Anolis sagrei: one gene and its partners. The protein of the gene in region 1 interacts with the protein of each later gene in a pairwise test. Links are inferred from orthologs where the notes say so. Each region holds a gene or a part of one and is shown in the gene's direction. Other genes may lie near its edges.

Region 1 (10,236 bases):
CTTCCGGGTTTGAAAAAATGTTTTGTATTCATTTCGTAATTGCTAAAAATAACGAATATTTAACGAATTACAAAATTAACGAACGAAACCGCCCAGGCCTAGTATTTATGAGGCACTGAATTGCATGCTTATGCTTTGATCAATGAAAGCTACTACTTATATTCACAAGGAAAGTATAACCAACCATACTAAACCCTAAACAGACTAATAAATAAACTTGTGATCCCATTGTTACCACTATGAGTGTATGTGTCCATAAGTTGCCTGTCAACTTATGGAAACTCTATGAAATTCATAGAGTTTTCTTAGGCAAGAAATACTCAGAGATGATTTTGCCAGTTCCTTCCTCTCAAATATAGCCTGCAGCACCTGATATCCATTGGAAGTCTCTCATTCAAATTCTAAGTAGATCTGGTGGTACTTAGCTTCCAAGATTAAGCAGGACCTGATGCCTTTAGGATACTTAGGCTCTTTGATGAAGAGCCTAAGCACCCTAGCTGCAAGTTCATAAAATAAAAATAGATTTACTCATTACATTTAACAAAACATATGTTCACACATCCACACATATAAAATTACGCGATGATTCCAATAGGAACCAGTGAAGGATATATGGTCATATTTTGTTAATGCAAGTGTGGTATACTATATACACATGATGCTTCTAAACCCATAAACGTTATGTGCTTTAAATTTTAGTTGTGGTCCTGGGTATCACTGAGGTAGTATTCTTTCCTAGGCTGTTTTCTATCTGTAAAGCCAGTAGGATAGGTAATAATTTATTCAGAGGATGTATGGATCCAAGGAAATGGAATTATAAATCACTGTATATGCTGAAAAGATAGACATAAATGTTAGTGTTGCTTCTCAAAGAAATATTAGGGGAAATGTAATAGTTGAGCCAATGTAAAAGAAAATACCACAAGTGTTTAGAAATAGAGCACAATATTTTTTGCAATGGCAAACATGTGTGAATGCACACACACATGAACACATCCAGACACTTATATATAGTTTTAATTAAACTAAAATGAGTTTGTTTACTTCTGCTGTAGACAGTTTAATTACATGATAGCTTTAATTCTGTGATTTGAGGATGCAGATGCTTTCTAAAGCCACTGCTTCGAATGAAGCTGATGCAAGACTTTCTGAGCCAAAACAAAATCTACCACATCTTTTCCTTAATGTCCTATATATATGGAATGTTGAATTCTGAGATATTTATCACAAATTGAACACAAAGAAACTGGGGTCTTGAAGATACAATAGCATTAGCCATAACACATGGCGATTGGATGATGCTGTCAAAGAAAGGAAGCATTATTTGCTTAGTCCTTGCTTGTTTGATGCCTGTTACAAATGTATGGATCATAGGGAAGGGATCTATCAAATACTGCTTCAGTAATACATCTAATGGGGTCCACTGAACAGCAGATAAACTCATCTCCTGGTCTGTTCACTTTTATATAGGTTTTCCTGTCTTGTGTGTGCTTTCCAACAGAGCCACAGTATATTTGCTCCATAATTATGAGGCTATTATGTTCATATTAATATAAAAATGATTGGAGCAGATTCTTTCATCTAGTTCAGTGGTTTCCAACATATTGACTGTGGACCACCAGTAGTCTGCAAGAACTAAAATATGGTCCGTGGTATGGGCGAGCAAATGGTGACTACTGGATGGCATATGTTCTGTATCAGAAACTAGAGCTGATGTGGTCTATTCAATGCAATTTTCTGAATCAACACCCCAAATAACCAAACTGAATCTAAAGTTGACCAAAAACGGATTCATAACCATTTTGGTAATGTTGGAGAGTAGTCCCTGGTCAAAGTGGTCTCTGGCCAAATGGTCCCTGATTAAAAAAAAGGTTGGGAACCACTGATCTAGTTGGATGAAGAGATGGAGTGTGTCAGGGCTACAGATTTGCATCTGCCATGGATGTTACCATAGAACAGTGAATGGCCTACCTAGCTGTCCCCCATTAAAAAGAAAACAGAATCAACCTGGAATAATTCACCTATTGGCCATTTACTGGATGTGTTGCTGGATAAAATACATTCAGTTGAAGCTGGTGTCATAATGTAGTTATTTTAATCTTTTGAATATTGTTATTTTGATCTTTTGATCCAAAAATGGTTCTTAAGGCATTGAACGCCAGCCTTCAATACTTGTGAAGTTGAATGAGTAATATTCCAATGTAGTTTAGTGTAAGAATTGTCAATATCCCTTCAAAGAGACTCAGTGCAGTCTAAATATAATGTTTACTTTAAAGCTTCCTCTCAGGTTTTCGAGAGGTCTAAATCCATTACCATAGTGACTGAGAAGTAGGCAAGAATGTCAAGAGAATAATTTTTCTAGTATGTCAACATTTTTTACAGCTTAAGCCTGTAAAAGAAAATCCAGAATTTATCAGATATGTGCCTATGGGCTATTTTCAGTCAGGAATTGCTGTGGGTGATGTCATGGTTGAAGTGTTCATGGGTGGGCATCCACAGAAGCTTTATAGATTGATACCTTTTTTTCCTGAAAACAATTGAATAGATTTTCTTTTTGGGACTGGTGGATTTGTATGGCCATTTTGAAATGTTGAATAATTTCCCATTCTGTAGAAATTGGTGTAATATGATGTAATAGCAATTAATAGTTGTTTCTGATTCCCTCCCTTCACACACTGCCACAGAGAGAGACTATTGCTTTAAAGTGAAAAGGTTTCCTTATTCGTTTCAGCAGAGGGAAGCCTTCCAGGTTGATTGCCTTCATAAAGTCTGTCTGGACTAAGTAGTCAGACTAGGTATGTGAACGGCAAAGGGTGCATCTACACTGTAGTATGAATGCAGTTTGACTCCACTTTAACAGTCATGCCTCAATGTTGTGGAACTGCAGTGTATAGTTTGCTGAGGCATCAGCATTCTTTGGCAGAGAAGGCAAAAGACCATGTAAAACCACAATGCCCATGATTACATAGCGTTGATATCAAACTGCATCAATTCCACAGTGTAGAGCAGGGGTCCTCAAACTAAGGCCCGAGGGCCAGATACAGACCTCCAAGGTCATTTACCCGGCCCTCGCTCAGGGTCAACCTAAGTCTGAAATGACTTGAAAGCACACAACAACAACAACAACAACAATCCTATCTCATCAGCCAAAAGCAGACCCACACTTCCCACTGAAATACTAATAAGTTTATATTTGTTAAAATTGTTCTTCATTTTAATTATTGTATTGTTTTTAAGCCTTTTTTGCACTACAAATAAGATATGTGCAGTTTACATAGGAATTCATTCATGTTATTTTCAAAATTCAGTCCTCCTCCCCCCAATAGTTTGAGGAACTGTGACCTGGCCCTCTGTTTAAAAAGTTTGAGGACCCCTGGTGTAGAGTAACCCAAAGTGAGTCTGCTGCTTAATGAAAGCACCAGGGTGTATGTTCACCATAGAAATAATGGAGTTTGACAGCACTATTATCTGTCATGGACCAATGCTGTGGAATCAGTGGAGTTGTAGTTTTACAAGGTATTTAAGGTTCTTTGGCTGGTGCCTCACCAAATTATGACTTCCAGGATGGCATGGCCTTGAGTCTTAGTGGTTCAAGTGGTGTCAAACTTCCTTAATCAAACATTGTGCATCAGGCATGGGCAAACTTGGGTCCTCCAGATGTTTTGGTCTTCAACTCCCACAATTCCTAACAGCCTAACCTAAGCTGTTAGGAAGAAACCTAGGTTTCTTCTCCTAAAGGAAGGAACCATAAAATAAACAAAATCTGGCTACCAGTATTTAAAAAAACCACTAAAATTATAACAGCAAATAAAGAACAACACTCAAACACGGGGGAACTCCAGACAAGAAACTATCAGGAACAACTAATCACCTCTCGTCAAAAGATTTCCCCAGGCAGTAACAAGCCACACCTAAAAACTGCCAGGCCATTTAATGCTAAGGAAGATGGCCAATAGCAACATTCACACTTGCCTCAAACAGACAAGAGTTCTTTTTCCCACCCTGGACATTCCACAGACATATACATCCAATTTTCCTAGTTCTGAAAGACCTTAAAACTTCTGAGGATGGCTGCCATAGATGCAGGCAAAATGTCAGGAGATAATACTTCTAGAACAGTGTTTCTCAACATGGCGGTTGAGACCCCTGTGGGGTCATGAGGGGTGTCAGAGGGGTCACCAAGACTATCAGAAAACACAGTCATGGGTGTTCTGTGTGGGAAGTTTGGCCCAATTCTATCATTGGTAGGGTTCAGAATGCTCTTTGATTGTAGGTAAACTATAAATCCCAGCAACTACAACTCCCAAATGACAAGGTCTATTTTCCTTAAACTCCACCAGTGTTACATTTGGGCATATTGACTATTTGTGCCAAGTTTGGTCCACATCCATCATTGTTTGAGTCCACAGTGCTCTCTGGATGTAGATGAACTATAACTAACTACAAAACTCAAGGTCAATGCCCACCAAGCTCTTCCGGTATTTTTTGTTGGTCATGGGAGTTTTGTGTGCCAAGTTTGCTTCAATTCCATCATTGGTGGAGTTCAGAACGCTCTTTGATGGGAAGTTTGACTATCAATCCCAGCAACTACAACTCCCAAATGACAAAAATCAATCCCCCTCAACCCCACCAGTATTTAAATTTGGGCATATGGTGTATTTGTGCCAAATTTGGTCCAGTGAATGAAAATACATCCTGCATACAGTATCAGATATATACACCACAATTCATAACAGTAGCAAAATTACAGTTACAAAGAGGCAACGAAAATACTTTTATGGTTTGGGGTCACCACAATATGAGGAATTCTATTAAGGGGTTGTGGCATTAGGAAGGTTGAGAACCACTGTTCTAGAACATGGCCATAGAGCCCAAAAAACCTACAACAACCCAACCTACTGGCTGTTAGGAACTATGGGAGCCAGGCCCGTAGCCAGGATTTCGTTTCGGGGGGGGGGGGGCTGATTTTTTTTCAGGGGGGGGGTTCGGGGGGGCTGAGTTTCGGGGGGGGGCTGAGTCTGAGTGAAAGAGGGTCTAGCCTAGCAAATCTTTTGTATCATTACCCCAATACCCCATGCATATGGGATATATTGAGTAGGGTGATCAGATCATGATATGAATAAACATAACAGTTTAAATAATGCACCAATAAGGCCTTTTCGCGAACCACCATGAGAATTTCGGGGGGGGGGGGGCTGAAGCCCCCCGAGCCGCCCCCCCCCCCCGGCTACATGCCTGATGGGAGCTGAAGTTCAAAACACTTGGAGGGCCGAAGTTTGCCCATACTTGGTGTAGATACATCTTTGGTCACTCTTTGAGATGAATCTGTCAGTGCATCCTTACACGAAAGAGGGATGGAGGGCTGGTGCCTGTGAAATAGAAGTCATAGGAGTGGAAGATGCAATGTCCCTTGGAAGGTGACAACTTTCTCCATGAATCTTCAGGGGCGGGCCCGGGGTATGGATTCTTGGAGGAAATCAACAGCCCTGGACAGAAGTAAAATATGCAGCGTCTGGGCTTGACTCGTTTTTCCTAAGGAGGGGAATCAAAGAGAGAGAAATCCAAAGCCGCAGCCCTTCCAAAGCCCTCAGACGCCCTTCGCTCCGCTTCAGCACCTTGGACAGCGAGCGGCGCGCTAAGTCCCTCCCTGATCCCCTTCCCGGCTTTTTTTTTTTTCCGCCCTTGCCTTTCACTTAAGGCGACGGGGTCGCGAGCCAATGGGAAGCCGCCGCTGCGCTTCACGCCCCGCCTTTCCAGCCCCCGCTGCCCAATGGGAAGGGCGGAGCGGTGGGTGGAACGCTCCTTCTCGCCCACCTCTCTAGTTAAGGCTCCTGCTCGGCGGCGCCTGTGGCTCAGTTAGAGAGGCGCGAGGCAGAGAAGCCGAGGCAGGCATCCCGGGGCGCGCGCGTGTGTCTGGCGGGAGGGGGGCGCGCGCTGTCCAGGGTCCTGCAGCCAAGGGAGGCTTGCTCCAAGTCCGAGGGAAGGCAAGGAGCTCCCCGCGCACCACCTTTCGGGCAGGCAGCCGATCCCAAGTGCTGCCCGGTCTACTATGGAAGAGGAGAAATACCTACCCGAGCTGATGGCCGAGAAAGATAGCCTGGATTCGTCCTTTGTTCACGCGATGCGCCTTTTGGCAGAAGGTAGGAGGACTTTGAGGGGGCTCCTCTCCTCTGGCTGCCTTTCTGAGCCAAGGAGAAGCGGTGGCTGTTGCTGCTGAGGATTGAAATGTTGCATAGGCACTCAGATCCTACATAGGGACTGAGATCTTGCATAGGGACTCAGCTCTTACATAGGGACTGAAATCTTTCCTAGGGAAGCATTGGGACTGAGATCTTGTGCGAGGCCTCGGACTAAAGGAAGGGGGTTTGAAAAGGGGGAGAGAAAGGCGAAGATAGTCTTTCCCTTCCCCGTTGAGGAAGAGCCAAGGAGCTCTGTTGTTCTGGTCTGAGATCTACATAGAGACAGAGGCTGCTGAGACCAATGAGTCTGGTGGGAGGATTCGCCTTAGAGAAAGTGAAGGAGGAAAGCAACTGAGGGTGTAGCATTAATGCAGTTCCACACCACTTTGCCTGCCATGGTTCAAAGGGGATTGAAGTTTCACAAGGTCTTTAGCTTTCTCTACCAAATAGTGCTGGTGCCTCGCTAAAATACAGCTGTTATGATTCCATAGCCATGGCAGTGAAAGTGGTGCCAAACTGCATTATTTCCACAGTGTAGATGCACTCCTCCATCACCCCAGTGTCCATAACCTTCATCCAACTGTACTATAGAAGTATAGAGTTTGTGTCAATGGCCCCTATGTCCCTACTATTGCTTCCAGAGGAAGAGATACTGATAGGTTTCAATGGCAACACCCTATACTCAAGAGGATGATTTGTGTCCTCATAGACTCACCTCTCCATCAATCCAGTTTGCAAACAAATCAGCAACAATTTGGCATTTTGTGAAAGAGATCCAACTCAGCCATCTTTTTCTTTCTTTTTTCTAAGATGTACATTATTTTAGAAAGATTTTTTTCCAGATCATAAAAGTTTTATATATATATATACTTGAGAAAGAAAATGGAATGGCAGTAGTAATCCAAACAAGGATTGTTTCTATTTTTGAGAGCTACATTTCAAGCAACTCTTCCTGCCCAGTGTTATGACTAGTTAAATCGTAGCAAATACCCTTCGCTTATTAAAAAACACTCAAGACTTTTACCATCATGGACAATCATTTCCATGGGAATTATTTGTTTTCATAGGAAGCTTTTATTTCTTTTCGTGCTCCCTTTTTTTTTTTTAGTAAGAACTGCTCTGTTATCAGGTGTACTACTTTTGTAGTGGAAAAAGCTTTTGGACTCCAATTTTTATTTACAGAAAGACAGATGCAAAGTGTTTCATTAAAGCTGTTCCATCTTGGGCTGTTGTGTTAAATGTCCATATTATATGGGAAGAGCTAAATCCATCACAATGCCTGTGATTCGTGTCATTCCAGTTCATTTCAGTCTACTCTTGTTCTGGATTTGTTAAGTTTGTCAACTGCCAGGTTTACCCCATTTTGCTAGAATATCAAACTCTTGTAGTCATGTCAGGACTAATTAATTGTTGAAGAACTCACGAGCAAGTTACCAGAACTTTCCAAGTTGTGCCTTTGAATAACTGTATCTGAGTGTTGTTGAAGGCTTTCATGGCCTGAATCACTGGGTTGCTGTGAGTTTTCCAGGCTGTATAGCCATGTTATGCTTCTGGAACATGGCCATACAGCCCAGAAAACTCACAGCAACTGAGACTGTATTTGAGTTGAGAAGCACAGAAAATCACCACCAAAAGTATTCTCCCTGATTTCATCCATTGTCCATGTTATTAATATCTGTCTGTAAAATATAGTTAAATTGTTTAGTTTGATAGTATTGCTTTCCCTTTCAATTATAATATGATACTGGATCTTCATCCCATGTTATTGTTAGACTTGGAAGGGTTTGTAATGAAATGAAGTCAAATGCAAATAATTTGATAGAGATCTAACAGTGTCTGTATATGGAAATAAGATGTCAATATTCCAAAGAATCTGAATAATTATCTTAAAAACATGTAAGCAGGCATCAAACATACTTTATTTTAAAAGTCTTCAGGCTCTCATTTTAAAAGGGGATGCCAGATTTGTAAATGAGAGCTTTCCCATCATATACTCTTTTTTAAAGTATAGATTCCCCGCCAGAAATATGATTTGTGTGTGTAATTTGAAATTTTCCCAGCAGGGGGAACTATCTGCTGAGACACAGTAAAATCAGAAGAAAAGTGAAGGGTAGAGGACTTTGGGGAGGAATAAAATGGGGGGGGGGGGAATACAAAACTCTGTGGTTATTTTAAAACCTTTTAATAAAAGTGAGCCCATGCAGATGTATTTACATCTACCTTTCCCATTCAAGCTAAAATTCAGCTGCAAATGATGCACATATTTTAATAAATGTGCTACTCCCCGACCCCCCTCAAGTGTAGCTGTAGGTTAGGATATGTGGATATTAAACACAGACTAAGGTGAGTTGCTTAAGAAAGCAAGAGAGAGTACTAATGTGGGATTCACACCAGCTACCTTGCATTATCCTTCAAAACACCATCTGTCAAGGTTTCTGGAACTGTGTTTCAGATTTATGCAAAAATATAAAATGTCTGAAAGGCAAACTTTCAATAAAATGAGCACACCTAGAGCTGTGAAAACTATAGGCAGAGTGATGCATTTTATGTTGAAAGATTACCATGATGCTATCACCATTTATTTGAATGTCAGCAAAAAAGAAGACTATAGAGCAATTATATTGTATTAGCCTTTAAAATGGCATCTCTTACAATAATATAATATTAGTATGGACTGTTTGCCATTTTTGGATTCAAGGAGAGGTCCTTGATAACTTACAAAGCCTTCTTACTGCAACATATGACAATTAAGTGTACAAGCAAAGTCTTGTTTTACAATGCCTGGCATTTTTCACTTCACTTTTTAATCCTTAGCAGTTGAAGTTAGGCAGACCTATGCAGCATCCTTAGAGGAAATATATGTGAAACAGAAACAGAAGACAGTTGTTTTTTTTTTAGATCTATAAAGTCCTCTTTTTTTCTAGGGCTGCTAAGACCAAGAACTTATTCTTATCCACTGTGTGCAATTTGTTTTTCTCCTCTAAAACCTTAGTTTCAGTGAAGAAAGAGACATTTTTTTCAAAAATCAATAAACTTTTGGGTCATTCAGGTATGTTAATGCCACCACTGCTCCCCAAAATTGTACAGTAATAGTTTGAAGATTCACTCTCTCAAACTGAGATAATTATTGAGTTTTTGTTTATTTCCTAAATTTCTTCCAACTAACTTTCTTGGGAACCAGTCCCACATGACCATGTATTGGATCGGGCAGTAATGCTAAATAAGTAGGAGGAAGCAGATTGGAGGAACAGATTTAATTGTCTGTAACAAAAGGTTACAGTGCTGATTCTTGCTAAAATCAAGTGCACCTTGATGTATTAATACTGCATTTGCGTGGAATTAAGTCTTATGAAAATTAATGGTCTACGTTATAATGTGATGACACATATCTGTATGTGTTTATATCTGAGACACAGTTTTCATTGGTTCATTTGAATCTTCCACTGATTTCAAAGGGAGAAACCTGCACCTAAATTGGGTTGGTTCTCAGGCAGAGTTTAATGCTCTGAAAACAAGAGCACATTGTCTAGAGCCAGTTCTATCAGCCTTAGAAATAACACCTTTAAATATTTAATATCGTAGATGAGCAGAAGTAGCCTATAAAACTCCACATCATACCAAACAACTTCTCCATACTAATCACGTTGCATTATGCGGCCACCTGTTATAGCAGGCAGAATAATTACTGGTCTTTTTAAGTTCATTGTTAACTGAATTAATCGTACAATATTTTGCAGTTAACCTTTCTAGCTGGCAGGTAAAAGATCATAGTACATCATTCAACCGTGTAGCTTTCAATGACTGTAAGGACGTTTAAGTACTCAGCAATAAGGATATTTAAACAGCTTCTTTTATGTGCCATATTTTATTATTATCGCAGCACTTTAGGCTACTGTACAGATTCCACATGCTCTTGTGATAGGCATCATAAAGGCAAATTTGATGTCATGTTTTAGAGAATATGAATAAACAAAAGTGAGTGGGAAGCAGTCTGAGAATATAAATGGAACATTAATTGGTTGCATTCATGACCTAGGAAATACTACCTGAAGCCCCA
Region 2 (10,250 bases), on another chromosome or scaffold:
CCTTTCTTTCCTTCCTTTTTCTTCTCCTCTCACCAGCTTCATCCTCCTTTATTAAAACTACAGTGTAGATGCACCCAAAGTCAACCCTTCCACACTGCCATGTAAAATCCAGATTATCTACTTAGGACTGGATTATATGGTAGTGTGGACACATGCACACACACACACACACACACATGGATGGACGTTGGATCACTGGCTGCTCTGTGTGTGTGTGTAATATATAATTACAATACTTTATATATTACACATACATATATATACTATATAATACATACATATATTGTTATATATACTTTTATATAATGCTACTACTATATATTACTATATTAAATAGACTCATAGAATAGAGTTAGAAGGGACTCTACCATGGTATTGGGGAAGAACACATGGAAGGAGAGAAGAAAGGGCGGAAGGAAAGGGGGAAGGAAGGAAAAAGAAAGGGGGGGAAAGAAGGAAGGAGGGAAGGAAGGAAAGCAAGAGGTACTGAAGGAAGGAAGAGAAAGTAGAAAGGAAAGAAAAATGGAGGTAAATGCAGGAAAGAAGTAAAGAAGGAAGGAGAAAAGGAAATAAAAAAGTGAAAGAAGGAAGGAAAGGAGAAAGAAGGAAGAAAGGAGATGAAGAAGTAGAGAAAGGGGGGGGGGGTGAAGGAAGGAAAGAGAGAAGGAAGGATGAAACCAAAGAGCGAAAGAAGGAATGAAAGAAAAAGATAGGGAAGGAAGAAAGGAGACAAAGGGGAAGGGAAAGAAAAAGAGGGAAGGAATAGGTAGGTACCTCTCTTTCATAATATTCCAGATATCTACCTCTACCTCGAAAATTCTTACTATAGGCCACAGCAACGCGTGGCAGGGCACAGCTAGTTATAATATAAAAACATTTAAAATAGAAAATTAAATTCGGTTTGCATCAATGTGATTTTTGAGCTTGCATCTTCTTTACAAGTTGGGTAATCCTGGGGCTAATATTGCTCAAAGCTACATGCATAGCATCACTTTCAATCAATTCCTAGACTTGTTTTTAATTACCAGCAAAACTGAAAACCCTTGTTCACATAAATAAGTTGCTGAGAAGAGCAGCGGATAGCTCAAGGTGATTCCTCGAATTTTAGTATAAAAATGGGGGGGGGGGGGTTATGCCAAAACTCCTCAAAAGAATAAGATTCAATCATATTTTCCATAATTTCTCACACTTCAGCCCACCCAGCCCAAGTAAAAAGTGCTAGATTTGCTTTATTTTTAAAGTTGCTCCTTTAGGAATTTCCTCTTTCCCCACTGAATCTGACCCCATAAGATTCCTTTCCAACTCCTAGCGATTTTGGGTTTTTTTAAACAAAATTGGCTTGTGTAAACAAGGATTGGTGATAAAGTTTCAGTGGAGACACCTAATGATACTAAGACCCCTTCCACACAGCTGAATTAAATCCCACATTATCTGCTTTGAGCTGGAATATATGGCAGTGTGGTCTCTTAATAACCCAGTTAAAAACAGATATTGTGGGATTTTTTAGCTTGATATTCTGGTTTATATGGCTGTATGTAGGAGTCCTGAGCCCACACTGCCATATAATCCAGTTCAATGTGGATCAGGTTGTTGGAGACGCATGAAGAAAACCACCAGACAGTCAAGGGGGGTGAAGAAGTGACCTCAAAGTTTATTGATCAGCCAAGCTGTTTATATATCTTTCTTGTGCTCTTTGCAAAGCTTGCCTGGTGACAGTGGGTTGGATTACATCATTGGCAGAGTGATTGGCTAGAGGTGAGCTCATCCTAAGGTGAGGTAGCCTGCAGCCCACTATCAGTCCCAGGTCATGATGCCCCCTGCATCCCCTTGCCAGAAAGGTGTGAAGCATAAACGTCAGGGGACTGGAATCTGCTATGTTCCCCGGAGGTATGGCTTGCCAGTCCCCCCTAGTGGTACATTGCTATTCCTGCACCCCTGCACTAGGGACACAATGGTGCCCCTCCTGCATAAGAGACATAATAATAATAATAATGTCCCTTCATCAGGTCACCTCCCTCCCTCCTATCTTTCAGGAAGAAGCTTAAGATGTGGCTGAGGGGACCAAGCATTCAACCAGTAAATAGTGCAATAAGGATAACAGACTAATGGAATTGACAATTGGACAGGCTTTGGACTATGATCTGGATTACATGATTTTAATTGATGTTTTAATAACTAACATTTAATTGGATGGTTTTAATTGTGTTTGTTCATTTCTATATTTATATGTATTGTCATTGAATCGCTGCCTGCTGTAAGGCCTCCCCGAGTCCTCTTTTTTAGAGTGAGAAGGGTGAGATACAAATATGTGTGGAAGAGCCCCCAGTGATTAATTGTGGGACGTGCATGTGTGTCCCAGGCCCCTTCTACACAGCTGTATAAAATCCACATTGAACTGGATTATATGGCAGTGTGGATTCAGGGCCCTTCCACATAGCCATATAACCCAGAATATCAAGATAAGAAATCCCACAATTACCCGTTTTGAACTGGTTTATCTGTCATATATTTCAGTTCAAATCAGAATAGACAGGGAAGTGGAGATGAATGAGGGAAGAAGTAGAGACAGCCTCGCAAAACTGGCCTTGACTAGGAGGTGCCTACACGGTGGTAACACAAGCATGCATGTTCCTCGCTCGGTGCTCACAGAAGACTAACAGGCAACCGCCTACCAATTACGAACCCCACCACCTATTGGTTTGTCACCTACTGCAACTGGAGAGTTCATTAATGAAGCTCCTTCCTTTTGGCCTGCTACAGCTCATTCTGGCTAATGATGGCCCTGCAATGTGTTAATGGGTACTCGCAGGAACAACTTTGTGGTGGATCTTGGGATAGTAGAGTAGCTTATCCCCACTACTAGCTTGTGGCAGATCTCTGCCCCGTTTAGGTCTTTTTACAACAGTTGATGTGCCTTAAGGTATCTCCCTGGCTTCCAAAAGTTTTACAATGCCATTTAGACTTCGCGCCTGCGCTGTCCTTGCCAGCTCCTTATTGATCCAGTAGGACACATTTAGGCCTCCAGTTATCAAAAATCCCAAGTAGGCCTCTGCAGGCCCTAGTTAGGTTTGTTGGGCTCCGTAGGCCCTGATTAGACCTTTGAGGGCCTCTGTGTGGTTCCTAATTGAGATCCTGCAGGTTTTGCTGTTTTTATGCCCAGTAATCCTTGTAAGTATTTCAAAGGTCTCTGGGGTCTTCTGAGCCAGTGGTTTCATTTTGGAATGACACTTCTAATATCTGTCCGAACGGATCTCCCTCTACATCCCACCTCGAAGTCTAAGGTCTTCTGGGGAGGCCCTGCTCTCGACCCCGCCTCTTTCACAAGTGAGATTGGCGGGACGAGGAGCAGGGCCTTCTCGGTGGTGGCCCCTCACCGGTGGAATTCACTCCCCGGGGAAATTAGAACAGCGACATCCCTCCTTTCCTTCAGGAAAAAACTGAAAACATGGATTTGGGACCAGGCATTCGGACAATCAGGCAGATAAAGAAGGATTTCGACGATGGACAGGAATTGACAAAGTGGAATGGAATTATGGAACTCTGAAAGACAAACGCTGAGCTTGAGATTAGTTTTTATTGATTGTGTTTTATTTTTATTGATTGTGTTATATACTGACTGTTTTAACTGTGATAATTGTTGATTGCTGTTTTATATGTATATGTATTCTATGTAGGCATCGAATTATGCCTTTTTTGTAAGCCGCCCTGAGTCAGGGGTTGAGAAGGGCAGGGTAAAAGTACCCGAAATAAATAAATAAATAAATAAATAAATAAATAAGGGCTGTTCTGTTGCTCAAACAGCAGGCCGTGCTTATGCCTCCAAGATCAATCAGTAGAGAGCTGGGATAGCAGTTTGATCTCCTGTCATGAATGAGCATTATTATTATTATTATTATTATTATTTGACTTTTCTTCCATTGGTGGGACTCAAAGCGGCAAACAATGGTTAAAACAACAGAAATTACATGACACAAAAAACATAACACCATAACCCCAAATAAAACAGATAAACAAATAACCCACATTACATAAACCATATATAACTAGCGTAATAAATACAGTGTATACAATTAAGGTGTTGGGTATTGGAGATCTTTCGCTTACAAGTAATATACATTTAAGTGTTAATGTTGGCTGTACATGTCCCCCCCCCCCCCCCCCCCAGATTTTATATTCTGTGCAGAGAGGCTTTGTGTGCTGATCTGTGAGCATAGTATGGTGCAATGGGCGACAAAACAGGTAACAGCAACAGGCAAAGTGGTCCTTATCCACCCATGTTTCATGTTTCTTATGTCTCTATTATGATGTGACAGCAGTCAATTTGATTAATTGCTGACACCATAAGAATAAAGAGACAAGAAACCTGGTTGACTATTAATCTATTGAACTGCATCAAACTTTGTGAGAACTGTGTGTGTGTGGTGGTGGGGGGGGGGGGTGGTGAGGGAACAACTGAGGCAAAATTCTCCCCTAGACTCTTCCTAAACTTCCCCTGGGAAACACCAACTCTTATATACACTTGAATGAACTGTATATTGATAGAAGCGTTTATTATATAAATAGCATGCCATCTTCACTAACTCTTTTCCATACAATACATGTTTATCTAGGTTAGATTGGGACCATTGCAGCTTTCAGGGATTTACCCTTTTCTTTTTTTTTTTAAAGAGGAAGGGCTCCCACTAAGATTTTAGTGTTCTGAGATTCAACCCATCTTTCCTTCTTTTTCATTACCTTAAAGATGGTAATGTAAGTTGCATGGTTTAGAGAGTATAAACTGGAGTACTGTAAGAATTTAGATAAAATACAACTAAACAAAAAGAAAGAAAGAAATGGAAGTGGCCATGAATCTGGCAAAGGAAAACATTAAACAAGAATACTAGTCTGTTTAGTACCATAATGAATAACATACTCTGGCATGTAGTCAAAATAACTTCTCAAATCTGTTGGCTTGAAGGATAATTGGTTGAAGGATAAGTCACAAATTGTAAGGGGCATCGTGCACATGTTCTAATGTTTAAAGCAGGTGATCAAGACTGATGGCAAAAGGCTGTTAGTGAATGCAGGGAAGATCACAGGCAGTGGATGTTAAAAGCAAAAAGCAATTAACACAAGGAGTCACTAGAAGGTGAAAAACTAGATGGAGTTTGAGTGACAAGGAATGGACTACATGTGGACTTTTAAAAGTAAAGATTTTGCACTTGTATGAAACATTTGAACTGTTTCATTTGATCAGTTTGGAGTCACTTTATGTTTGTTCCTATATGTATGTGTGACTCTCCCTGTCCTATTTGTGAGACACCCAGCGAGTATTACCCCTTCCTCTACATAGCAAGATCACTTTCATTTTAGCATCAAAGAGGCACAATAAGGCGAGTGCTAGAGAAAGAGGAAGGAAGTAGAGGGATTGTGAGATGAGCAGAGATCAGTGCTACTGGAGCGGTAGCTAAAGTGGCCTTTTGATTCATTGGGCTCCAGATGCGTATGCTGCTGGATTTTATGCATTCTGACTCTGCTCCCATTCAGCCTTTCTACTGAACCACGGTGAATTTGTGGGCAATGACTCCTTGGCACAAAAGTGATAAGAAAGTTGGTGTGGGTAAGTATGATAGAGCTTTCTCTTTTTGTCTTTCTTCCTCTGCTGGGTGTGGGGAGAAGTGCTGCAAATAAAGTGGCTAGATCAGCAAAGCAATGCAGAAAAACAAGTGAGATGCTTGCCACAGCTTTGATGGGCCCATTATGGGCATACACTTAGAAGAGGATTGTAAGGATGAATTGCTTCCTAGGTGTCTTTAGTTGGTACTGGTTTCTGAGTCTCAAGGCAGAACCCCATGGTGGAAATTATAACCTGATTGACATTAAATTTAATTTTAAAGTAACATTTCTTCAACATTTGATAACCCAGTTGAAAGTTTAAACATCTAAGTTCTTCTGAGGCTTTGACTCAGTTGTGTAATTTTGTCTTCTTGTAAGCTCTTGCACAGACAGGAAATAGGGGAAAACATGTTTTCAGAGGCAGACATTGATAGGCCATAAGAGTTCTTTTTTTTACTCCAGAATAAGTACATAGGAAGCAATATAGATTGCTTAGCCACTAACCCACTAGGGATTCCAGGTACTAAAAGGGAAGCACAAACTGTTCTGTGTTAAGGGGACTTCCAAGTATGAAAGCACTAAATCAGTAAACATAAATGTTAATCTACATAATGAAACAGAAGATCCCACATCTGGTCTCCAGTATTACCATGTAAGACCTGCAAAGACTGCTGTCTAAAATCCTGGAAGGCTGCTGCCAATGAGGGTAGTTAACATGGAGCTTAATGGATAATGGCTTGATTTGGTGTAAGGCAGCTTCCTATGTTTCTGGCAGAACAGTATGCATGCTCCAATGTGTTTGCCTTTGCATGAAATGAGTCAGACAACTACTTGATTTCTGGAAGAAATGCTGGCAGCAAAATGTTTTTCTGTTTCAAAGAAATTATATGGCGATATTGTAAAATAATTCAAAACTCATAATAAGCTTGCTAGCTACTATTGCAAAAGCAATGAGCTGAAACAATAGTTCTCTTGTGCAAATGGGAAGAAATCTCTTGAGTTCTTCAAGGCATGTCAAGTCCATTACCCTCGTTTTCTAGAAACATGGGATTCTTAATAGCTCCACTTTATTCCACTTTGAAATCCATGGCAGCAGAGAAGATGTTCAAGTGAAAGATTTATACCATCTAAAGAGAAACTAAAGTATTCAGTCATAACAAATTCACAGATAGCATTTTAATCCAATCTGGTCAACATATTCATTTTGTTATGGAAAAGATCACTGATTATGGAAAAGAGCTACTGGGCTCACTAACTTTATATTCACAAAAACTTGTTTTCAGACAATGCCATCAGCAGTTCTGACCTGTAGATACCTGAGAGGGAATGTCCTTGTGTAGATGACCTCTGTGCTGAAGACCTCCTTCACTCTCTCTTTCATTGCTCATTGCTCCCCAAAAGAGGTTTCTCTCTCACTATTTCATATTTTCTGTTGACAACTCAAGATAGGAAAAATTGACATCGTTACTAAGGAATGTTGACAACACTTTTTAAAAAAAACAATGTAGCCTTCTTTACAACAAAAAAGATTCATCCTTTGGACTGCACATTTTCAACTTATTCTTGGTGTTTTTATGTGCGTATGATTTAAAAATGAACAAAAATCTGTTTACACAAGTAGAACCCAGTGAGGTGCAGCAAACATTTATTTATTACAGTAATTCACTGTAGAATCATGGAATCATAGAGCTGGAAGAGACCCCATGGGCCATCCAGTCAAACCCCCAAGAAGCAGGAAAATTGCATTCAAAGCACCCCCAAGAGATGGCCATCCAGCCTCTGTTTAAAAGCTTCCAAAGAAGGAGCCCCCACCACACTGGGACAGAGAGTTCCACTGCTGAACGGCTCTCACAGTCAGGAAGTTCTTCCTAATGTTCAGATGGAATCCCTTTTCATGTAGTTTGAAGCCATTGTTCCTCATCCTAGTCTCCAGGGCAGCAGAAAGGAAGCTTGCTCCCTCCTCCATATGACTTCCTCTCACATATGTATACATGGCTATCATGTCTCCTCTCAGCCGTCTCTTCTTCAGGCTAAACATGCCCAGCTCTTTGATTCTACTGTGATTAGAATGCTTTGCTTCTGTCTTTGTCAGTTGCTTAAAATAAAAATAAACTTGTAGTCAAGGCAGCTTAAAACACATCAGTATTCATATTCTTAACTACATAGGCTCCAGGTCAGTGGTTCTCAACCTGTGTGTGTCCCCAGATGTTTTGGCCTCCAACTCCCAGAAATCCTAATAGGTTGTAAACTGCCTGAGATTTCTGGGAGTTGTAGGCTAAAACACCTGGAGACCCACAGGTTGAGAACCAGTGCTCTAGGTTGGGCCTGTGTAATGTCTGGGTCCAGAATTTTTCCTTTCTGTTTTAAATGCTTCAATTAGTCTTTCCCCTTTCCCCACATATATGGGGAAGATGTACTTTTATTATGTATGTCTTGCCATGCTGTTTGGTCACTAACAACAAACAGGTGAAATTGTATCTCATTTTCAAACTGGTATCAGTATAATTCCCTACATTTTGAAGTTGGCATCAGCAAAAGTCATCATATGGTCTCTTCCCGTGTGTTCTGCTATCGCAGATGTAAGCTGCAGGCAGGAGCCATGCTTTTGCAGATCCCACACCACCAAGATATCCTCTAAATCCAATTTCTTTCTAATAGTTGAGCTCCCCACCCAGGCTTTTCAAGTGAATATAAGGTTGCTTTGTATGGTAAAGCGGGAACAAAATGAGGCATTGCCTATGACATGCAAATGTACATTTCATAATGCAGACCATCTGTTCTGCTTTCACCTTTGTAGTTCTCAAATCATGCAGTTAGAGAGAAATGAGTTGTTAAATGTTAGATGTTTGTTTTTAATGACTACTGAGATTTTAAAAGCCTGATCTAAAAAGTAGTTGTCCTGAACAGAAAATCATATAATAGTTTAGATCAGTCCACCAAATACTCCAGAAGTTGATTTATTGTCCTATTAATTTTACAACTTGAATTTTTTAAACTTTGGTGGAGATTGAATTGTTCAGTTGTTCTTGTTCGCATCCCCTGTAAAAATGATGATGAGGCAAAACATGGACAAATAAATATTGCAAAGGGAAGTTGTGAGTCTACAACTGTGGCTGATATATTTAGGCCGGCCTTGAAACAGCAGTATGAATTTTTCATTTTCATCATGCTGTGAATGCCTATTATTTCAGTTGATTCTTTCTGCATTTTCCTCTATAGAAATTCAAGGGAAATTGCATTGGGAGCAGAATTCCTATTTGGAGGGCAAAGTCTTCATTTTGCTTCCTTATCAAAGCTGCACCCCTATGTCCACATCCTCTCCACCTACCCACCCACCCATCTTGTCTAAGGAGATTCCTTAGGGTTTCTTAGATCAGGAGCTAAGTTTTTCTCATTTTTCACTGGAGTCAATCAATAGTAAGTTGTAAGGTAGACCTAATTTGAACTAGCATCAGAATCTAGATAAAGAGCAAAGCTTACAGATAAAATCAGTGCCATTGACAATGTATACAGCTCATTTAAACAAAATCTATATGTTTGGTTTGTCTTCAGTGTATTGCCAAGACAGCATATTCCCATAGATAACACTAGAAAGTACAATTTTGCTGTAAATATTTCCTTGCCCCTCAGACATATGGAGCTCCTGGTGCATCCTTAACTTCAGACACTCACTAGTATGATTGAAAACAGTACATTTTGTGCAGAAAAGTCCCAATGCCTAGGCAGGGACATTTGCTTTTGAAGCAGGAATATTTAAAGTTATTTTGCTTTACTTTGCTAATTTCTGCAAATAGGACTATATAAATCCAGGGTAGCCTGAAGTATGTCTCTGCAGATATTGATGGAGATGAACTCCCATCATTTCACACCATTGTGCCAACTAAGGCTGATAGGGGCTGCAGCCCAATATCCAGAGAACTGCATTTTGTTCACCAGTGCCTTAAGGCAACACTTGCCCAAACTCTAGTCATGTCTTGGCAAATGAATATTGATAGTGTTGATATTTAAGATTCATGAAGATTCATTCACTCTGGTTGTTTGAAATTGGAAAAAGCAACTAGGGGGTGAATAGGTTCCTCAAAGCTATGGTGGAATCTAGGCCTACGCTGGGGCGGAGAAAGTGAGTAAGAGGAAGAGAAGCTGGTTTTTAAGACTCTATAAGCTAACATTATCTGTTGGTGCAGCTCTAGAAATCTAATGTAGGATAGAGAGAAGCTGAAAGAACTCCCCCCCCCCCTTTGCTCAGGCTATGTACAGTACTTGTAAATTAAACCTGAATATTGCAAAACACCTTAAGCCTCCACTTTTCCTTTTTTTCCAAAGTAAGTGAAATACAGAGATGCATATTGCTCCCTAGAGCTTCTCATATATGGGTCACATGCACATATATATGCTCTTGAGATTGGATTAACAAATTTATTGTGTCATAAGCTTTCATGGGCTATAGCATATGTGGTCAAAATAGCAATTTTCAGTTGATGGGGCTGACGGGATACATTATTAGGCAATAGGTTTTTTATAAAACAAATAAAGGGAGTTTACCCTCACATTTCCAGAATTATCATTTTATCTAAATACAAAAACTTGAGTAATTTTAAAAGACTTGAAACCAAGTAAATTTCCACTTACTCAGAAAACATCAAGTCTGTAAACCA
Region 3 (10,641 bases), on another chromosome or scaffold:
CAATCGACCCTTCTGGGGGTCGTGACCCCCGGGTTGAGAACCACTGTTCTAGAACATGGCCATACAGTCTGAGAAACCTACAACAACCCAGTTTTAATGCAAAGCGCATGCGTGTTGTGTTCTTCTACTGGTGAGCCCGAGCACGGCAGGGAGCCCCGCCTTCACATTGGTGTGAGCTGCAGCGGAGAGTTCCGCAGTTCCTGGACCAAGTTTTGGGGACCAACAGATGAAATGTGCCCCAGCAGCCAGCTCAAAACCAGGAATGCCTGCAGCTTTCTTTTGCTTTCCCCTTCTCCTTACATTGTATCATTTCCCTAATAAAGCACTTGAAACTTGCAACATTTAATCTTTCCGCTTGATACTTTTGTATCTTTTCCTGCCTCAGACTAATTCAACATTAAAATAACCCTTTTTCCAGGCTCTGAAGAGCCGTGAGCCTGCTGGGGGGCGCCCACTGCCCCCCCCTGGACCCTGGATCTGCGTTCGGAAGAATCGCGGATACGGAAACCGCCATTTTGGACCCCAGTACCCACTAAAACAGTAAAATGGCGGATTGACGCCGTTCAAATTTTGTATTTTTCTGCTCTTAATTCTAAGACTAACTGCCATCATGTTTTCCTCATTTTGGACTCCTGCGCTCGGGGAATAATCATTTTGTTTAAAGTATTTTACTTTGACAGAAATCAGCTGTTTGTCAATTTGGCCGGGTTCTTCCAAGACAGCCCGTTTCTCCTCAGCGCTGCTCGCTCCCTGCCTGGATCCAGCAACCGGGGACCCACTGCGGCCACCCGCAGGAGACCCCGGGAAGGCAGCCAGGCACGGGTCCCGGTCTCTGACCTGGGAGACATAGTTTTCCAAAGGACAGACAAGGACACTGCCCCACCATTGCAACCCGGAAATCCTCCTTGGACTCTTTTTGCCCTCTCCTATTGACTTTCTGCTCCACGTCCCGGACTGTTTTCTGCCATATCTTTGGACACAAACCTTCAGATCAGGCTTGCCCTGAAGAGCAAGCAGCCTCCGTTTCCGTGTGCCTTCACCAGGAGACCATGAATTTATTTCAAATAATAGAAAAACGAGCTGTTTTAATAAACTTTGCTGGGGATGGGGATGGGATTGCCTTATGAAATATATGAAATGTATGTAATGAAATATCATATAGAATGTGCTGTGTTTCCCCTTCCCGCCTTTCCCTTTGACCCTTGCCCCATAAAGATGTGACCTGGGGATTACTGTCTTGAAGAGGAACTCCTTTGTCCTCCCAAAACTCTTCCCGATTGTTTCATTTGCATGGACCATACTGTTGTTTCCCCCCAACCCTGGCCCTCAGAGCAGACCAGCGAGGGGAGGGGGTCAGCAGGAACTCGGAAACAAAGACTGATTTAATCAACCAGGTATTGTTGATCCCCCTTTGAGGTCCGATACCGAAAAAGCCTTTTCATATTTCTTCCCAAATCCCATCAACAGACCAGGAAACTCATTGTTCCTCTATCTGACACCCCGCCAAGTGAGGACAAAGCCACACATTCCAGCTGGCGGATGCCCCTAAGCTGATCATTTCCTCAGCCATTGTTGGCTTCGTCCCGCCTCCTAGCTGCCGATTGGTCCATCTTCAGAGGCGCTAGGAAGGCACTGATTGGCCTCCCAGAGGCAGCGGAGCCCGCTGATTGGTCCGGAGGCGAGGCGTGCTGCCAAGCCTCCTCCCAGCTGTTCCGTGGCCAGCCAATCAGCACGAAGCCGGCTGACAGAGGGTGGGCGGGAGTTTTGAAACTGTTTTCCTTTGTCTGTGTACTATAAAAATGCTTGAAAATTATGCTTGCAGTGGAATGATTCCTGCAATGCATCTTATCTCAGCTGAATCACAAATAAACCTCGGTTGCTGAAAAACTTCTTCCACTTGGATGAGGCATTATTATTTGTAATATTTTTTACTCTTTGGATTGGCTCTCGCTAGCCTCACCAAAGGTCCAGGGCCCTTTTGAGCGGTCCTCAGGGATCTCCTCCGCCGGGAGACCCTACAAAAAGCAGCTCGATATCACTGGCACCTGGTTCTGACAAGGCCAGACCGTAGTGCCCTGTTCTCCACTTTTAAAGTAAGATCCTTCTGTCTTCAAGTTGGAGGGATTTTCTGAGATAACAAAGGACCGCAACTGCCAGCTGGGATGCGAGCAATTGTGTGGTGTCAGTGGGTGGGAAGCAGAGGAGCAACCACTCCTGAGGAGGAAACAGCAGGGATGATGGTCAGTGGGGCCTCTTGACCTCCACAATCTGGCCCGTTCTGCCATGCTCTGGTCTGGTCTGGTCTCTAGGCCTTGAGGGACCTGGAGGGTCAGAGGAAGGAAGCTGGCCCAGAGCGTGCATGTATGAGAAGCGAGATCCAGATTGGATTACTGCAATGCGCTCTACGTGGGGCTGCCCTTGAAGACGGCTCAGAAGCTCCAACTGGTCCAATGATCGGCAGCCAGGATGCTAATGGGGGCCCCTTACAGAGAGAGGTCAACCCTCCTGTTTAAGGAACTCCACTGGCTGCCGTTCATATTCCGAGCCCAATTCAAGGTGCAGGTGCTTACCTACAAAGCCCTGAACGGTTTGGGACCAGCCTACCTGCGTGACCGCATCTCCATCTACGAACCCACGCGTTCTCTTCGGTCATCTGGAGAGGCCCTGCTCGTGATCCCACCTGCGTCGCAAGCGCGTTTGGTGGGGACGCGGGGCAGGGCCTTTTCCGTAGTGGCCCCCCAACTCTGGAACACCCTCCCCAAAGACCTTAGACAGGCCCCCTCATTGGCTATCTTCAGAAAGAACTTAAAAACTTGGCTTTTCCGATGCGCCTTCCCAGATTAGGAAATCTCCACTACCGAGTCCTACAAGCACTTTACCAGAACTGATTGATGCACATTGCACATCGCACTTGCCCTAGAAGCCCTTTATACACCTCCTGTCACATCAGCACTTTTAACGCTTGTACCCACCTTTTGGCCCGGCCCAGTTTTACTGTGTTTTAATGTATTTTGCTTGTTGTTTATTTTTGCTTTGTTTTACTTGCTTGATTTGCGTGTTTATATTGTTATGTTGTATTGTTGCGGCCTCGGCCTGTTGTAAGCCGCATCGAATCCTCCGGGAGATGCTAGTGGGGTACAAATAAAGTTTAATTATAATAAATAATAATCTAGAATGAGATCAGAGGTGCCTTCAAGGGGATTCCCAGGGAATCATAGAATCCAAGAGTTGGAAGAGACCTCATGGGCCATCCAGTCCAACCCCATTCTGCCAAGAAGCAGGAATATTGCATTCAAATCACCCCTGACAGATGGCCATCCAGCCTCTGCTTAAAAGCTTCCAAAGAAGGAGCCTCCACCACACTCCCTCTGGGGCAGAGAGTTCCACTGCTGAACGGCTCTCCCAGTCAGGAAGTTCTTCCTCATGTTCAGGTGGAATCTCCTCTCTTGTAGTTTGAAGCCATTGTTCCATTGCGTCCTAGTCTCCAAGGAAGCAGAAAAGAAGCTTGCTCCCTCCTCCCTGTGGCTTCCTCTCACATATTTATACATGGCCCTCATCATATCTCCTCTCAGCCTTCTTTTCCTCAGGCTAAACATGCCCAGCTCCTTAAGCCGCTCCTCATAGGGCTTGTTCTCCAGATCCTTGATCATTTGAGTCTCCCTCCTCTGGACACATTCCAGCTTAGAGTCAATATCTCTCTTGAAGTGTGGTGCCCAGAATTGGACACAATATTCCAGATGTGGTCTAACCAAAGCAGAATAGAGCATGGAGAGCATTACTTCCTTAGATCTAGACACTATCCTCCTATTGATGCAGTTGGACTACTCACCTTGCCCAGGGGGAGCGGGCGTCACGGCAGAGGAGGCCAGGAGAGCGAGGAGGATGATGATGATGAAGCCGGTTGAGGACTTCATGGTGAGGCAAGACCAGTGAAGCTCCAGCTCTGCCACCTCCTGCCTTTATATCCCCTTCCAAGAGAAACTGGGCAACCGAACTCCTGGCGCTCAGCAGGGAACAAAGCACAAAGCCTGCCTTGTGAAGTGACCTTTGTGGCTGGAAACACGGATGAGCCAACCAACGGATGCCAACAGGATCCACGGGGAATGACACAAGGAAGAAGGCTTCCCATCCAAGAACTGGAGAAGGGCAAGGCCCGCAGGTCATGCCAGGGCAGTTCCAGAGGGAATTCTAGGGTTTAGTAGGCATTGACCTTGAGTGTGGGAGTTGTAGTTCCCCTACATCCAGAGAAGACTATGGACTCAAACAATGATGGATCTAGACCAAAACTTGGCATGAATATCCCATATGCCCAAATATGAACATAGATTGAGTTTGGGAGAAATAGACCTTGACATTTGGGAGTTGTAGCTACTGGGATTTATAGTTCACCTATAATCAAAGGGTGTTCTGGACTCCACCAACGACAGAATTGGGCCGAACTTCCCACACAGAACCCCCATGACCAACAGAAAATACTTAAGGCCATTCAGTCCAACTCCCTTCACCAGGGCAAGAAAACATAATCAAAGCCCTCCTGACAAAGACCCATCCAGCCATAGATAAATAGATAGATAGATAGATAGATAGCTTGCAGTGTTTGGGGAAAGGGAGCAAGATTGAGACATCAACCAGCTGCAACTCATGGTGAGCAGGGGACTTTCCACTGGAAGGAAGGAGGCACCTTTGGGAGAATTATCTGAATTATCATTGGTTCATGTAGGAACCAATGATACTGCTAGGCATACTTTTTGAAAGATCACAAATGATTTTCGAGCTCTCGGAACAAAGCTAAAACAATGTAATGTACAGGTGGTCTTTTCATCCCTCCTCCCAGTCGTAAAACACGGTCCTACAAGGGCCAGAAAAATAGTACAGGTCAATGACTGGCTTAGAAAATGGTGTCAATAATAATAATAATAATAATAATAATAATAAAGCGAAGGCTGGATGGCCATCTGGCAGGGGTGCTTTGATGGTGCTTTTCCTGCAGGAAGGCAGAAGGGGGTTGGACTAGATGGCCTTTAGTGGTCCCTCCCAATTCTTATTATCTATCTATAATAATAAAGAGTAGTAGCAATAATAATACTGATAATAATAATAGTAATAAAGCGGAGGCTGGATGGCCATCTGGCAGGGGTGCTTTGGTTGTGCTTTTCCTGCAGGAAGGCAGAAGGGGGTTGGACTAGATGGCCTTTAGAGGTCCCTCCCAACTCTTATTATCTATCCATAGTAATAAAGAGTAGTACCAATAATAATAATAATACTAAAGCGGAGGCTGGATGGCCATCTGCCAGGGGTTCTTTGATTGTACTTTTCCTGCAGGAAGGTAGAAGGGGGTTGGACTAGATGGCCTTTAGAGGTCTCCCCCAACTCTTATTATCTATCTATAATAATAAAGAGTAGTACCAATAATAATAATAATAATAATAATAATAATAATGTAATAAAGCGGAGGCTGGATGGCCATCTGGCAGGGGTGCTTTGATTGTGCTTTTCCTGCAGGAAGGCAGAAGGGGGTTGGACTAGATGGCCTTTAGAGGTCCCTCCCAACTCTTATTATCTATCTATAATAATAAAGAGTAGTAGCAATAATAATAATATTAATAATAATAATAATAATAATGATAATAATAATAATAATAATAATAACGCAGAGGCTGGATGGCCATCTGCCAGGGGTGCTTTGATTGTGCTTTTCCTGCAGGAAGGCAGAAGGGGGTTGGACTAGATGGCCTTTGGAGGTCCCTCCCAACTCTTATTATCTATCTATAATAATAAAGAGTAGTAGCAATAATAATAGTAATAATACTAAAGCGGAGGCTGGATGGCCATCTGGCAGGGGTTCTTTGATTGTACTTTTCCTGCAGGAAGGTAGAAGGGGGTTGGACTAGATGGCCTTTAGAGGTCTCCCCCAACTCTTATTATCTATCTATAATAATAAAGAGTAGTACCAATAATAATAATAATAATAGTAATAATACTAAAGCGGAGGCTGGATGGCCATCTGGCAGGGGTGCTTTGATTATGCTTTTCCTGCAGGAAGTCAGAAGGGGGTTGAACTAGATGGCATCCCGCTAGCCACGCCCCCGACTGGTGATTGGCCGGAGCTTGCAGAGGCCGGAATTCCGATTGGAGAAGCGGCGGAGCCACGCCCCTCCGCGAGCAGCCAATCACCGCTCGGCGTGGGCGCCTGCGCTTTGAGACAGAACGAGAGCGAGCGAAGCCGTGGTTTCCGTTGGGCGCCCTTTTGTCTTCGTCGCTGGTGAGAGACCCGCGCAGGCCTCCTCGGTGAGTGCAGGGCCGCGGAGGGGAAAGCGGGAGGCCGGGGCAAAGGGGCTTTCCCCGTCGGTTACTTGGCCGGGCCGGGCGAATTCTCTTTCTGAGGCGAGAGTGCGCGCGCAACTCCTCCTACCCCTCCCCCACACACGCCGAGCTGTGCGCATGCGCGAGAGCGGACGGCCATGTTGCGCATGCGCGTCGGCGGCGGAGCGGCAAGGGCTGGGCTCGGTTCCTTTCTGCGCCTGCGCAGTGGTTGGCGCGACAAGGAAGGCACCCGCGTCCCCTCCTGATGACGCACTTCCCTATATCTATCTATATATAAATGCTCTGTGCATAATGAGTGCCTTAAAAACAAAAGAACCAATGAACGAAATCACACCAAATTTGGCAACAAAACGTCTCACTACACAAGGAGTGACCATCACTCAAAACATTATGAGTTTATCATTTGGGAGTTGTAGTTGCTGGGATTTATAGTTCACCCACAATCAAAGAGCATTCTGAACTCCACCAATGACAGAATTGGGGCAAACTTCCCACACAGAACCCCCATGAGCAACAGAAAATACTGAAAGGATTTAGTGGGCATTGACCTTGAGTTTGGGAGTTGTAGTTCACCTATATCCAGAGAGCACTGTGGACTCAAACAATGATGGATCTGGACATGAATACTCAACGCACCCAAATATGAACACAGATGGAGTTTGGGGGAAATAGACCCTGACATTTGGGAGTTGTAGTTACTGAGATTCACAGTTCACCTACAATCAAAGAGCATTCAGAACCCCACGAATGACAGAATCGGGGCAGACTTCCCACACAGAACCCTTATGACGATCAGAAAATACTTAAGGCCACCCAATCCAACTCCCTTCATCGGGGCAAGAAAACGTAATCAAAGCCCTCCTGACAAAGAGCCATCCAGCCATAGATATAGATAGAAATATATGATTCACAGACACACACATATATGTATGTGACAGATGCAGTATCATAGATTTCAAAGGGACCTCTAAAGAAGTACAATTATATGTTGCATGTTCCAGAGTAGGCAAACCAGACACTCTCCACATCAACACTGACAAAGAAACAGCAAGAAATACTGTTTACCCACAAGCAGAAAGAAATTACATATATTGGAAACAAACACTTTCACATTATTTTATTTCCCAGATCAACAGACTGGGCCACAGCAACGCCTGGCAGGGGACAGCTAGTAAACACTATTATGTCAAAATTTGAAAAATGTTCTGTCCCTGGTTTGAAAGTGTGATTTCCTGTTTCATGGTGCGGACCTTGCTTTGAAAATAGTTGCTCTACTCCAGGAACTTGGTTGATTTTGTGGCTGCCACAAACTGGGTTGAAGTAAATTCAGACTCTAATAATAATAATAATAATAATCAGACCTCTGAGGATGCTTGCCATAGATGCAGGCGAAACGTCAGGAGAAATGCCTCTAGAACATGGCCATATAGCCCGAAAAAACCCACAAGAACTGAATAATAATAATAGTTTTGTTGTTCATTCGTTCAGTCATCTCCGACTCTTCGTGACCTCATGGACCAGGAAATAGTGACATTTATCACCCAGGAACAAAAATCACAGTGTCACACCGTGTAATCTATTACAATTATAATTATATAAAAACATAATATATTTATGTAATATATTTATTGTATAATAATATAGTAATGATAAGTAATATATTGTATATACAATGAGGAGAGATGGGTAAGGAATAAAATTATTGTTAGCTACTACAACAAACTACAAAACTAAAACAGACAAAACACACCTATTATTAATCTTATTATGTTTATTAATACCCCGCTTTCTCGCTACAAAAGAGACTCAAAGCAGCTTACAATAAAACTAAATGCAATACAATTTAAAACATAAAAATATAAAAACATTGAAATAGTATTAAATATTAATTGTGCTAAAAATAGTCAAAATCCTTAAAAAATGAATAAAAACATGTTCAAAGCTAAAACCCATAGCACTCCCTGGCTTGTTTAAAAGCCTGCCTGAATAAAAAGATTTTATTCAGGTAGACTTGCACAAACTCCGCTAACAAACAGACAGCCAAGGAAATAATTTTATAAAACTCCTCCTCACAATCTGATTATTTTTATCCCTTATTATTCTATTCCCTATGCCATGTTTTAACTTTGAGGTTTTTCTATACATTGTAACTGTATTCTCAATTTGCTTTTGACAAGTTAAATAAAAATAAATTTCTCTTTAGATGCTAATATATAATTACATTTCTACTTCTGGTAGAAATTCATTAATCCTATAGTTGGCATTTCCTCCCATCATTATTATGAAAATGAGCAAGTCCCAATATTTGAGCAAAAAATTCTCCATAATCAGCATAGTCGGACTCTCCATTTTGGGGATATCACAGATATTTATCCACCATTTGTCTTGTGTTGGGAAAGCGGGTTCCTTCACCTGAGGATTTGCTTCAAAGAGAACATTGTCCACCAACAGGATCCTGTTGAAGGTTGTTTATATTGCTTTACATGTTCATATTTACAATTGTTTTTAGCTATATTTTATTTTAGTCAGATTGGTCATTATTACATCTTGGAGTGGTGATATTACAATTATATTAAACTGGTTGCCAGTTACGTTTCTGAACAAAGTACAGAGAACTCTTGATTCTTACCTTTGAAGACCTGCATGGTCTGAGCCCAGTATCCCCTCCTCCCATATAATCCACCTCAGGGAGATGGTTACTCCACTCAGCTGGATGCACTGCCTGAATTTAAAATAGCAAGAAAGATTGTCTCTTCCAACAGATGGTATTTAAAGGATGAATTTAGATAATGAATTTAAACTATGGATCAATTGTTTGCCTATATATTGATCTTGCACGCTCTTATGTTCATGTTATCCATATTTTTAACTGGTGGTATGTAAGGTAGTTTAATGCAGTGTTATTCCCCACGTTATCTGTGTAGACAGGCAGTTAAGAAATAGCAGTAGTAGTAATACACATCCATACATGCACCTATGATGTGACCTACTTTGAATTCCTTTTTCCAGAGAAGCTGATGAGGCAGGTTGGCTGACCTTGATGCTGATAGTGGTGCTGCCCATAAAGGGGGGGGGGGGCATGGTAGGACTGGGTAAGATGCTACGAGCGTTGCATTCGTTCATAACAAATGATTTTTTGGTTCCAACAAAGCAGGGACCCTCAATGCAGAGGCAGAAGGCTCCACCCTCTATGAGCATGCCAAGGGCAAAAGTTCCATCCTTTTCTGGGCCAAGTCCTAAGGCACATCTGAACCTCTTTTTTTTTTGCAGAATTATTTATTTATTATTATTATTAACAACATTTGTTTACCGCTTTTCTCACCCCTGGGGGGGGACTCAAAGCGGTTTAAAACATAATAAATGGCAAATTCACATTTATATTAAAATATCACATATCTAAATCAATAACATAACTGCAGATAAAAAACTAAACTATAAAAACATCAAACATAGACATAAGCATGAAACATATTATTGCTGCAATTAGTAATGTAGGCCCTGTCCCTTCCTCTCCCCCCCCCCCCCCCAAGGAGATATGGTCAGCATAGCCTCAAAATGGCTTCACTGGGATTATGCCTGGTGACCCAGGATCCCTTCCCATATTTTCAAGGGCCAGCTCTCTTCCCAAGCTTAGCCTTGAAAGAGTTTGGAGAGAGATAAGCTCATATTCTTCTCTGATAGTTCCTTGGTCTCACTCCTCCACTGTGGAGGTGGGATTTAGCAAAGACTGGGTGCCACAGAGAGTAGCCTTTTCCAGAGAGTGCTGTTAGGCAGGAGGCAGAAAGGTCTAGGGCTGTGGTTTGGATAGATAAACTGGAAATGGAAGCCACTGATATTGTAGCAGATTAAAGGCGGTTGGATTTTAAATTTGCTGTTCAGCTGTTTTGAAAGAGAAATTATATTTTGTTTGACTTTGTATGCTTTGGAAAACTTGGATCAATACATGCTATAAATAAATGATATCAAGGTTTGTGTTGTCATGCAGGAAACACTAAAACATGGTTGTAGAGCAGTGGTTCTCAACCTGGGGTCCCCAGATGTTTTTGGCCTACAACTCCCAGAAATCCTTGCCAGTTTACCAGCTGTTAGGATTTCTGGGAATTGAAGACCAAAAACATCTGGGGACCCCAGGTTGAGAACCACTGTTGTAGAGAGTAAAATCCCAGTGGTGTCTGTGCAGCAGAATTCTTGCACCCTGAGCCTCCCTTAATGTTCTCAGTGAACACTGTAGGTCTTTGTAGTGCACCATAAAGTACGACTACATTAGACAGTGACATTAGATGGGTTTGCAGAATATAGATGTTGCCTTTGGCCAGT

The links.
Region 2: the proteins of KHDRBS2 (region 1) and DOCK2 interact in binary tests that used the Homo sapiens proteins (3 or more experiments, as listed by UniProt). The two-hybrid records come from large-scale screens. The link is inferred for Anolis sagrei from reciprocal best matches to the Homo sapiens genes KHDRBS2 and DOCK2.
Region 3: the proteins of KHDRBS2 (region 1) and NCOA5 interact in a two-hybrid assay, tested with the Homo sapiens proteins (2 studies listed by BioGRID). The two-hybrid records come from large-scale screens. The link is inferred for Anolis sagrei from reciprocal best matches to the Homo sapiens genes KHDRBS2 and NCOA5.

What each region holds. Positions count from the first base shown.
Region 1 is NC_090021.1:117,774,043-117,784,278, forward strand, and holds the start of KHDRBS2 (KH domain-containing, RNA-binding, signal transduction-associated protein 2), read left to right. Parts: upstream 1-5,960; 5' UTR 5,961-6,049; coding exon 6,050-6,140; intron 6,141-10,236. UniProt on the Homo sapiens protein: RNA-binding protein that plays a role in the regulation of alternative splicing and influences mRNA splice site selection and exon inclusion. Binds both poly(A) and poly(U) homopolymers. Phosphorylation by PTK6 inhibits its RNA-binding ability.
Region 2 is NC_090022.1:104,833,202-104,843,451, reverse strand, and holds the start of DOCK2 (dedicator of cytokinesis protein 2), read left to right. Parts: upstream 1-5,425; 5' UTR 5,426-5,559; coding exon 5,560-5,599; intron 5,600-10,250. UniProt on the Homo sapiens protein: Involved in cytoskeletal rearrangements required for lymphocyte migration in response of chemokines. Activates RAC1 and RAC2, but not CDC42, by functioning as a guanine nucleotide exchange factor (GEF), which exchanges bound GDP for free GTP.
Region 3 is NC_090024.1:248,050,312-248,060,952, forward strand, and holds the start of NCOA5 (nuclear receptor coactivator 5), read left to right. Parts: upstream 1-6,192; 5' UTR 6,193-6,288; intron 6,289-10,641. UniProt on the Homo sapiens protein: Nuclear receptor coregulator that can have both coactivator and corepressor functions.